Linked DNA regions of Drosophila melanogaster. The protein of the gene in region 1 interacts with the protein of each later gene in a pairwise test. Each region holds a gene or a part of one and is shown on either strand. Other genes may lie near its edges. The genes, in order: Hmt-1 and CG8746.

What was found.
Region 2: the proteins of Hmt-1 (region 1) and CG8746 interact in a two-hybrid assay, tested with the Drosophila melanogaster proteins (one large-scale study listed by BioGRID).

What each region holds. Positions count from the first base shown.
Region 1 is NT_033777.3:15,853,309-15,859,460, reverse strand, and holds Hmt-1 (heavy metal tolerance factor 1), read left to right. Parts: upstream 1-1,990; 5' UTR 1,991-2,131; intron 2,132-2,507; 5' UTR 2,508-2,523; coding exon 2,524-2,823; intron 2,824-2,878; coding exon 2,879-3,078; intron 3,079-3,138; coding exon 3,139-3,464; intron 3,465-3,527; coding exon 3,528-3,932; intron 3,933-3,995; coding exon 3,996-5,365; 3' UTR 5,366-5,593; downstream 5,594-6,152. Other genes in the region: CG31183 (uncharacterized protein), read left to right, coding at 1-1,130.
Region 2 is NT_033778.4:8,790,578-8,794,358, forward strand, and holds CG8746 (uncharacterized protein), read left to right. Parts: upstream 1-2,055; 5' UTR 2,056-2,172; coding exon 2,173-3,162; 3' UTR 3,163-3,196; downstream 3,197-3,781.

The DNA.
Region 1 (6,152 bases):
CGGAGGATCGGTTGAAGCTAAGGATAGGCCTGCACACCGGTGCCTGTGTGGCCGGAGTGGTGGGCCTGAAGATGCCACGCTACTGTCTGTTTGGTGACACTGTGAACACTGCCTCCCGAATGGAGTCCAATGGTGAAGCGCTCAAGATCCACATAAGTGAGACCACAAAGGAGGCGCTCGACGAGTTCGGCACCTTTGTGACCACACGCCGCGGATTTGTGCCCATGAAGGGCAAAGGTGAGATGCTGACCTACTGGCTGGAGGGCGAGGTACCCCGCCCCAACTCCCTGATCTCGCCCAGCAAGCTGATGCTCACGCGTCGCTCCTCACTGAAACAACCGCAGCGCAGCCAATCGCATAATCTTCACAAGCAGTACTCCGAACTAGTGGTGGCCTCGCCACCACCCCAGTTACCGCCACCTGCGATCGCTCTGCCACCGCCACCGTCGCCGTCCAAGGATTCGCCCAATCTCCGCGTGAAACGCAAGATCAGCTCCAGTTCACCCAAGCTGAATGGCGGCGGCTTTGACTATCACAAGACTGAGAACCACTATCTGGATACGGCGGCGGCTGCCCAGAGGAACTGCGACATCTACAGCAGCCGCAGTCTGAGGGACATGGAGGAAACCTCCGATAGCTGGGAGCTGGCACACTTCCGGCTGCCGCTGAGCGGAGCACTCAAGAGCCACCATCACCTCAATAACAATAGCCACGGCTATGTGCACTCGAATTCCAGCTCCAATCTGAGCGGTATCCTGCAGCCGCCGCCACTGGGTGTCCAACGCACCCGGCTGAAGCCCTCGCCCACGATCTCAACGCTGCTGACAAGCGCCAGGAGTGAGGCCAATGCCTCCCCAGGCCCCGAAACGGGCAGCATGGGCAGTGGGCAGCTGAGGATCAAGTTTGCTGAAGGAGACGAGACCCCACTGCTGCCCACACCGCCGCCGCTGGCTGCTCCTCCACCGATTCCACAGATGGTGGCCGCCAGTCCGCAACGGAGCGGCAGTGGCCAGAACATTCCGGCGGACAGCAGCCACTACGGCTTCCTGGTGAAGAGCTACAAGCAGCAGTGCCCACCGGTGGCGGGCAGTGCCGTCACCCAGCCACTGCTGGCCAAGATCAACTCATAGCTGTATGGGGGGGAGTCGACTCCCTCTTCACTGTAATCATATGCATATTAAATGTACTTGTTTGTGATAATAAGTTAAACCCAAGTTGAACAAGTTAGTGGTTAGTCAATAGTCGACCGAATCAAATTCGAAATTCGTACGGGAAATCTTCTAAAATGTTTCCTAGGTTTTAATCGCCCCATCCCCTTACTCATAAGTAGCGAATTTTATATTTAACCAAACCTCAAATTAAACAAAAATAAAAACAAAAAAGGCAACTCTAGATGTAAATAGAAACTTACTCCCAATCAATTTGTTCCTTGTGCTTTGAATATTCATTCTCTACAAACTCAAAAACTTAGCTTAGTTATTACCTAAGGTTAAGCGTAGACAATTTGTGAAAATTTCTTGAATGTAAAGTATTAGATGAACATTGAATATTTATTTTGAGAATTGACGAATAAAGAAATCTATATAATCTGTATATTTTACCCGCAGTATGTCGAAATAGGGTTTTAAAAACAAGGAATATTGAAATAATCACAATTTCTGATAAGATGGTGTGTTGAAAACCAGGAATGGTAAAGTAATCGCAAATTCTGATAAGAAAATGGTTTGAAAACTGGGCGCCAAGCTGAAAACCAGGGCTGAAAGCTAGCGTGACCGTTTCCAGAAAATTTGTTACCTTCAATTTGATAAGAGAATTACTTTAAACCTTTGATAGCTTAAAATTAAATCACTTAAACAAACTCTCCCTGAATTTATTATAGCAATCGAAAATGTTATATATTAAGCTATGTTCATTTAAATGAATCTCACCTGTTTCCACTGTACAATGTGTATGTGGTATGTTGTGTGTAAGCAGAAACGGCCATACCGAACCCTTGGGTCAAAATTATTTATGTTGATCGTAGTTGGTGGTGATTGGGTCGGAGTTGCCCGCCAGTTGTCCATTAGTTGAGTTATCACCTGTCACACGACTGATTGCGGTGTTTCCACCAGATCGCGACTTCTTATAGCGGGTAAGAGGGGAGCACTAGACCCGCCGGCGAATCGAGCATACGCAACATTGCATAATTTAGCATATCCAATGGGCTGGATGAGTTGCAGTTTCCACGGTTGCCGGACTCCAGGGTATTTCGGATCTCTTGGTGCCGTGCTGCAAGGGCACCAATTATCAATTCACAATCTGCACTCCGCTTACCCGGAGGAAAAAAATAGTGATTTCCCCTTTGGGGGCGTCTGATAATTTGGGTGAATAATTGCGAAATTGCCGCCAGCCCATAAAACAAAGCAATTGTGTTCACCGAGCTGTTTCCCAGTGACAGCTCCACTTTATCTGGCACGTTTCTATCAGAGCTTATCGTTCCGCAATTGCCTTTCCTCGTCGCCGCGCAGGTACACCGACTTCACCATGCTGTACTGCCCGCCCAACGTGACCCTCAGCGAGGTGTGGACGCAGCATGGCATCTCGCATTGCTTCATGGACACCGTGGGACCGGCGGTATACGGTGGATTCCTTCTGCTCTTCGGCAGCATTCAGTTGCTGATGTACCGGAAGTATGCCACCAGGATTACGGATCCCACGCAAATCTCCAAGTCACGACTGTTCGCGATGCAACTCTTTCTGTTGCTCCTGCTCCCGGTTTTGGCTCTATTGCGGTTTCTGATGAATGCACGTATTTATCCAGATAGTGCGGTGTACGGCTATATGGTAAGTATGAAAATGATCAAGAAGAAACAATTACTGATCGAAATCTTTTCTGCAGATCTTCTCCACTTGCGTTGTGTGCTTCTCCTACCCGTTCAGCATCTGTTTGATACTCAAGGAGCGCTACTACCAGCTGCCCTCAATGCCCACCCGAGGACATGGACTTGTTCTATTGCTATTCTGGACGTTGGCTTTCATTAACGAGTCGCTGGCCTTCATAAATTTGCGCCACGAGGACTGGTGGTTCCACCTAAAAACGTAAGTAATGCAAACGGCTGTAAAACGGATAATCTATAGTACCGCCTTTACTACTCGCAGGAACAAGGATCAAATTGAGATGGGCTTGTTTGTCACCCGGTTCCTGTGCTCCCTGCTCATCTTCGTTTTGGGTCTGAAAGCTCCTGGCATCATGGCCCCGTACAATCCACATCAGCGGCTGGACAATGATACCGCCAACGAATCGCAGGGAAACGTGCAGACAGGATCTGCTTTCAGGAACGGATGGCGCAAGCTGCGCACCGTCTTTCCGTACCTCTGGCCTAAAAAGAATATTGCTCTGCAGATAGCCGTCATCGTTTGCATTATACTGCTGCTTGCCGGTCGAGTCATAAAGCTGTTTTTGCCGATTTATCGCAAGAAGTTGGGTAGGTCAAGAATTATGAACGTAATTCGTTAAGTAATTCATTGCTAATCTCCTGTTTCGACAGTTGACAGTCTTACCATTGCACCGATCGTCTTTCGCTGGGACTTTGTGCTGATCTATGTGGCATTGTCCTTCCTCCAGGGTGGCGGCACTGGTAGCATGGGATTATTTAATAACCTTCGCACCTTCCTCTGGATACGGGTTCAACAGTACACGACCCGGGAGATCGAGATTGAGCTGTTCCGGCATCTGCACCAGCTTTCGCTTAGATGGCACTTGCAACGCAAAACGGGAGAGGTGTTGCGTGTCATGGATCGCGGCACGGACTCGATCAACAACCTCCTCAACTATATTGTCTTCTCGATCGCACCAACCATTCTCGATCTACTCGTTGCCGTGGCATACTTTGTTTACGCCTTCAATTGGTGGTTTGGCCTAATCGTCTTCCTCACCATGTTCCTGTATATAGGTAAGTGATAAAAATTATTCGATTAATTCCATTCGTATTTCAAAATATCCTTCCGTTTTACAGCCTCTACCATTGCAATCACTGAATGGAGAACCAAGTACCAGAGGAGAATGAACCTGGCGGACAATGAGCAGCGAGCTCGCAGCGTGGACTCCCTTCTCAATTTCGAAACAGTCAAGTACTACGGAGCGGAGCACTACGAGGTGGATTGCTACAGGGAGGCCATTCTCAAGTACCAAAAGGAAGAGTTCCTCTCAATGCTGACACTCAACATGCTGAACACAGCCCAGAATATTATTTTGTGCTTGGGCCTACTGGCCGGATCGCTGCTCTGTGTATACTTGGTAGTTCACCATCAAACCCTCACCGTGGGCGATTTTGTGCTCTTCTCCACCTATCTGATGGAATTGTACATGCCACTGAATTGGTTCGGCACCTATTACCGAGCCATACAGAAGAACTTCGTGGACATGGAGAACATGTTCGATCTGCTGAAAGAGGAGGAAGAGATTGTGGATGCCCCAGGCTGTTCGCCCCTTCTAACTGCCGGCGGTGGCATTGAGTTCTCAAACGTGACCTTTGGCTATTCACCGGAGAAGATAGTGCTGCGCAATGTGAGCTTCACAGTTCCGGCCGGTAAGACGGTAGCGATTGTTGGACCCTCTGGAGCCGGTAAGAGCACCATCATGCGGCTGCTTTTCCGCTTTTACGATGTGCAGACTGGTGCTATCCTGATTGACGGACAAAACATCAAGCTTGTGCAGCAGCAGAGTCTGCGAAAGGCCATTGGAGTGGTGCCCCAGGATACGGTTCTCTTTAACAACACCATCTTCTACAACATTGAATATGCCAAGTTGGGCGCTTCGGACGAAGCTGTCTATGAGGCTGCTCGCGCCGCCGACATTCACGAAAGGATTCTCGGCTTTCCGGAGAAATATGAGACAAAGGTGGGCGAACGAGGTCTGCGGCTCAGTGGAGGTGAAAAGCAACGCGTAGCCATCGCCAGAACGCTTCTTAAGGCGCCCATTATTGTGCTCCTGGATGAAGCCACCTCAGCTTTGGACACCCACACAGAACGCAATATTCAGGCTGCTTTGGCCAGGGTGTGCGCAAATCGTACCACCATCATTGTTGCCCATCGTCTTTCCACCATCATCCATGCGGACGAGATTCTGGTCCTGCAGCAGGGAAGCATAGCGGAGCGTGGGCGACACGAAGAGCTTGTGCTGCGCGAAGATGGCATCTACGCGGACATGTGGCAACAGCAACTCAAGAATCTAGATGCAGAACAGAGTGGTGGTTCTGATAACGGAGACGCTAGTGCAGAATCGGGATCGGAGAAACGCAGGGCAGGAGGAGCAGGAGGACCAAGTGGTACTGGAACGGGTGGTGCCCACTTCAGGGCAGGACATGCTCATGGGGGAGCACGCTAGCCTTAAGTGACATACAGAGTAGTTTCTGATATTCCTGATTCCATGTGATTTGTGGTGTATTGTTATACGTATGAGAGCAGCTCGTCAAAGTCTTAGTTCGTCTATAAGTAACCTTATATGCTACTCTTATACTAATAAATAACGTAGATTTTTATAGACAATCCGCGAGATTTAATATAATTTAAATGTGTCTGGTACCAAATAAATAGCGCAATATTGTGTATTTCTAGTCCTTATTAAATTATTAAGTCTTGAAGGGATACGAAATTGTCCTTGGGAATATTGTAAGATAATGTTATGCAAGATATCTTAAAATCCTCTAAACAGAATGTATCAGATTTGAGAATCCGTTTTCTGGTCCGTAAGACGTTGTTCCAGTGGACGCGGCAAAAATCTATTTATAGGACATTTCCCAAGAGATCGTAAGAGAGCCCAGCTGCCAAGCTGCTCTTCGCAGCATGATTCTTATCAACGAAACCTCCAGCAAGGCCAACCATCCGGCTGTTATGTCCGCTCAGTTTGAGCTTGGATCGCGAACAGAGCGGACGTGTCGAGCTGTGATCCGGGAATTAGACGCGTTGGCGATAAAGGAGGAAAAGCGTCGGCTTCTTTGAAAAATCTGATAATATACAGTCGCGTTGATATATATATTATATATAATATATATACATATATTCACTGATACTACATTGAGAAATCTGTGCGCGAAGTGAAAAGCGTCGGAAGATCTGTGGAAAAGCGAGTGCCACGACCTCGGAAGGAAGTAGCTAGTAGCAAGTAGCAGGCC
Region 2 (3,781 bases), on another chromosome or scaffold:
CAGGATTCTCCGAATCCGGGGAAGAATGCAGGAGGAGTCTAACAATGGACGGGCAGAAATCTCGTCGCCAGCGTCGCTAACAACTCGTAGCATTGCAGCTGCCAGATGTGGTAAGAATAGAGATGTGACGCGGAGTGGGTGGGTGGTGGTTGGATGGTTGGGTGGTTTGTGTGGTTTGGGTGGTTGGGGTTGTTGGTGCAGGGAGGGGCAGGTCGAGAGCAACATTTATTGTTTGCAAAGCCTTGTTTATTATTTTACGTGCATTTCTCTTGCCAGCTTCAGATCCAGAGCTTCAGCCTCGGCAAGGACTCTTTATGATTCACTCGGTCGCTCCTTTTGGTCGAGGACATTTTGTAAATAGCAATGCAGTGGCCCGGCCGCCTGACTTGGCCCAGGATTCGCCCATCCCATCCCCCTCCTCGAGTGGCGGCAGCGATTTTATTCACTCGCCGCTGTTTATGTGACCCGGATCATCCAGGCTCCCGGGCTGGTGCACCTCGCCTTGGTCCTGGTCTTATTTTTGGTCCTGCTCCTTGGCCCTCGATGCGGTTGCTTTATGTTTTTAATGCCGTGCGCCAAAAGTCCTATTGTTTGTACACTTGTACTTTATGTACCGAGCGAAATTTATGCGCCGCTAAGTGGATTCGTGGATTCTTGGATTCTTGGATGCTTGGATTCTTGGATGCATGGATGCTTGGAAATCGCGGATCCGAGGACTTCACCCCGCACCGGCATCTTGGCTCTCTCGTTTCCGGTTCCAGCATTGTTGCCTGCCAAGCAGGAAATGCAATCCTCGCCATCCATAAAACTTGTCCAAAATCTGGCGAGCTCCAGCCTTCGCTCAGGATCTCGGCTTTAAGGACGAGAGGGCATTACAATTATCCTGCGCGTGTCCGAGTCCTTGACTGCCTCCTCATCCGTCCATTTATTGCGCCGTCGAAGTAGGACAAGAAATTTGCGTTTGCACGGAATGAAAGTTGGCCTTTCGCAGCACCTCAATGAGCATAAAGTCGTAGCAAGTGCAAATCCTCCATTAACACTGGGACACAACGAAGCGAAACAGCACGACGCAAATCTTGGTGGTCCTGGGAGTCGGCGAAAAGGACAGAAAGGTGATTTCTGCTGCTAATTGGAAATCGAGGGGAGCGGACGGACGACCGGATGAGATAGAAACTGACCCGCCCAAGAAGAGTCACAAATGTTTGTTCTTTTGCAGGAAATTAAGGCGAAATGTAACAATCGAATTAGGCCGAGTTCGAGGGCAAAGGACACGGGTCAGATCCAGAATCCAGCAACCACCCCCCGATGCAAAATGATGGTGAAACCGATTTGCCACGTTTCGTTGGCGTCGGCATTTAAGAAGGCCCGAAACAACCGTTTGACCTTCAGTGCGGGCCCCAAACTTCAAATTGATTTTTCATATTCATTGGCATCGGGCTCAAAGCGATGGAGTGGGCTTGTGGACAGGAACAGGGACCAGCAATTCTCATAAATTAAACATGCTCCACATAAACTAAAGTGAAAAATGCGAGGGCAACGCAAAAAAAGGGGGGAAACCAAGCATTTAACTGTATATTTGAAATATTTTAAATATAAATTTCAATATTTAACTGCGCCCGCCGACAGGAAACGGTCGCAGGACAGCACGGCAACAACTACGGATACGGAATCGGAATATGGGAGCGGAAAAGGGACTCGGGGGGCAGGGACACAAGCCAGGAGAGCGGAAATGATCCATCGACCCTCGTGCTGTCGTCCCAAAACGGCCATGGGTCCACAAAAAAAAAAGGTTTCCTCTGCCGCAGTTCGTTCGTTCGGTTCAAACCACAAAAACGTTGAAAATATTTGTGTTTCCACTTATTTGCATTAATGCCACGAACCGATTTACTGTCTGTCCATCTGAGGTCGGTGGGCGGCGGTTGGTGGTCGGTGGGCGGGATTGTGGACTCGGCCCCCAAAAAACACACACAAAACACAACCATCGAGTGCCGAACATGAGGTCAGGCCAATAAATAAGTGTGACTTTAGTTGGCATCCCGTCCCCTTTCATTTAGACTTCTATCTGCCATTTGGCTAGTGCTTTTTTAGATTTCATGGAAAATAAATCAAATTATTGGCAATGTATGAGGCCCCTTGAAACAAAACCAAATTTTTAGTGTGAGCAACAGCGAAATGGCGAATTCGAAATCGTTAAAATCAAGCAACTGGCCCGGCATACTGGACTCCAGGACCGCATTGCGAAAGTACTTCGCACCGCCACCCATAGCGGCCGGAGCGCAGGAGAGACATACGACTTACTCTCCCCCAAACTTTGTGGGAGCTGAACCCATGCAGCAACCCAGAATGAACTCCGCCTGGCAATTGGCCAGCGATCCCTCTGGTCTCTCGGAGTTCCGTATTCCGAAGCGGATCAAGGGATTGAAGGATCGTGAAAGAAAGAAGCTGGAACGGAAGGTTTGGGCCAGGCCGGCAAGGATCGATGTAACCAAGAGAGCTGCCAAATTGGGAGCTATAAACATCGAAAAGTTGCAGAAACAGGATCAGGTGGAGTCGCCTCCAAAGTCGAGATCACCAGCTAAGAAGGAGCGAAAGAAGGTCAAGAAGCAATCGTCACTGCTTCGGAAGAGGCCCACCAAAATATTTTCCCACTCTGGCTTCCCGCGGCGCAGGAACATCCTGGTCGTGGACGCCAAGAGGTCCCCAGGAATGGCACACCTAGCTGGTGGAGCGGATCAACCTCTGAAAAGCACTTCACCTGGACGGGAGGGAGACGTCTACCGTCCGAGAATCAAGATGAGTGGCCGGTCCAAAAAGACCTACACCGTGCCCCTGTGCAGCCGGCCCACCGAGATAATAGGCACGCGCCTTCCCTACTCCCGCCAGATGCAGATGCGCCAGGAGAAGCTCTGTCAGCAGCCGGAGTACTACGACCAGTATATCCGCATGCTGCACCAGCAGCAGCGTCACCAGCAGATGTGCCAGCACGAGCAGCAGAAGCAGGACTTTGCCCGTCAGAGGTACCATGTGACCCAACACCCCTACTCCATCTTGCCACACGCCATGTCCGAGGATCAGCAAAACTTGTACTCCGTGCCCTCCAAAACGCCACTCAAAAGATTAAGGGGCGGCAAGCGGCTGTGTGGCAACTTTTACTACGACTAGAAATGTGATCAATAAACAAGTTGCAGAACATATTATAAGGCATTGATATTAAGGAAAAAGCGGGGAATGATTTTCTAAATTTATTATCCGAATCTTCGCATTCATATCATATGAATCGCTTATGTTAGGAGTTGGTGGGCATTTGTCATACTTTTTTGTCAGGCGGAAAACTATCTGTCAATAATGCCATGACTGATCACCGTATATATGTAATTATGGAAAAATGTATGAAGAGTATTCTATATACTAATAAATATTTTTATATATCAAGTGAGGGCTACGTCTTTAGGCCAATTACATGAATTCCTATCCCGCACGCACTCGCCGAACTGACCTGTTTAGCACCTGGCCTGCTCCCTTCCACCTTTCCATGGACGTTTGCCCTTCAGTGACCTGAGAACTTTCCGGTATTTAATATACTCGAAAGTACTTGGGGTGGAGTGGTGGAGGCCATTGGGCTGGCTGGTTCCTTGGTGAGATGTGGGCGATGGTGGCCTCTGCACGCAGATACAATTAAAATCGAAACGAGCCAACAATGCAAACTGGCGAACAAACAGGCAAACAGCGAAACACAGCAATGGAAACGAGCAAATAATGAAGTGGATAAAGTTTGCTGAAA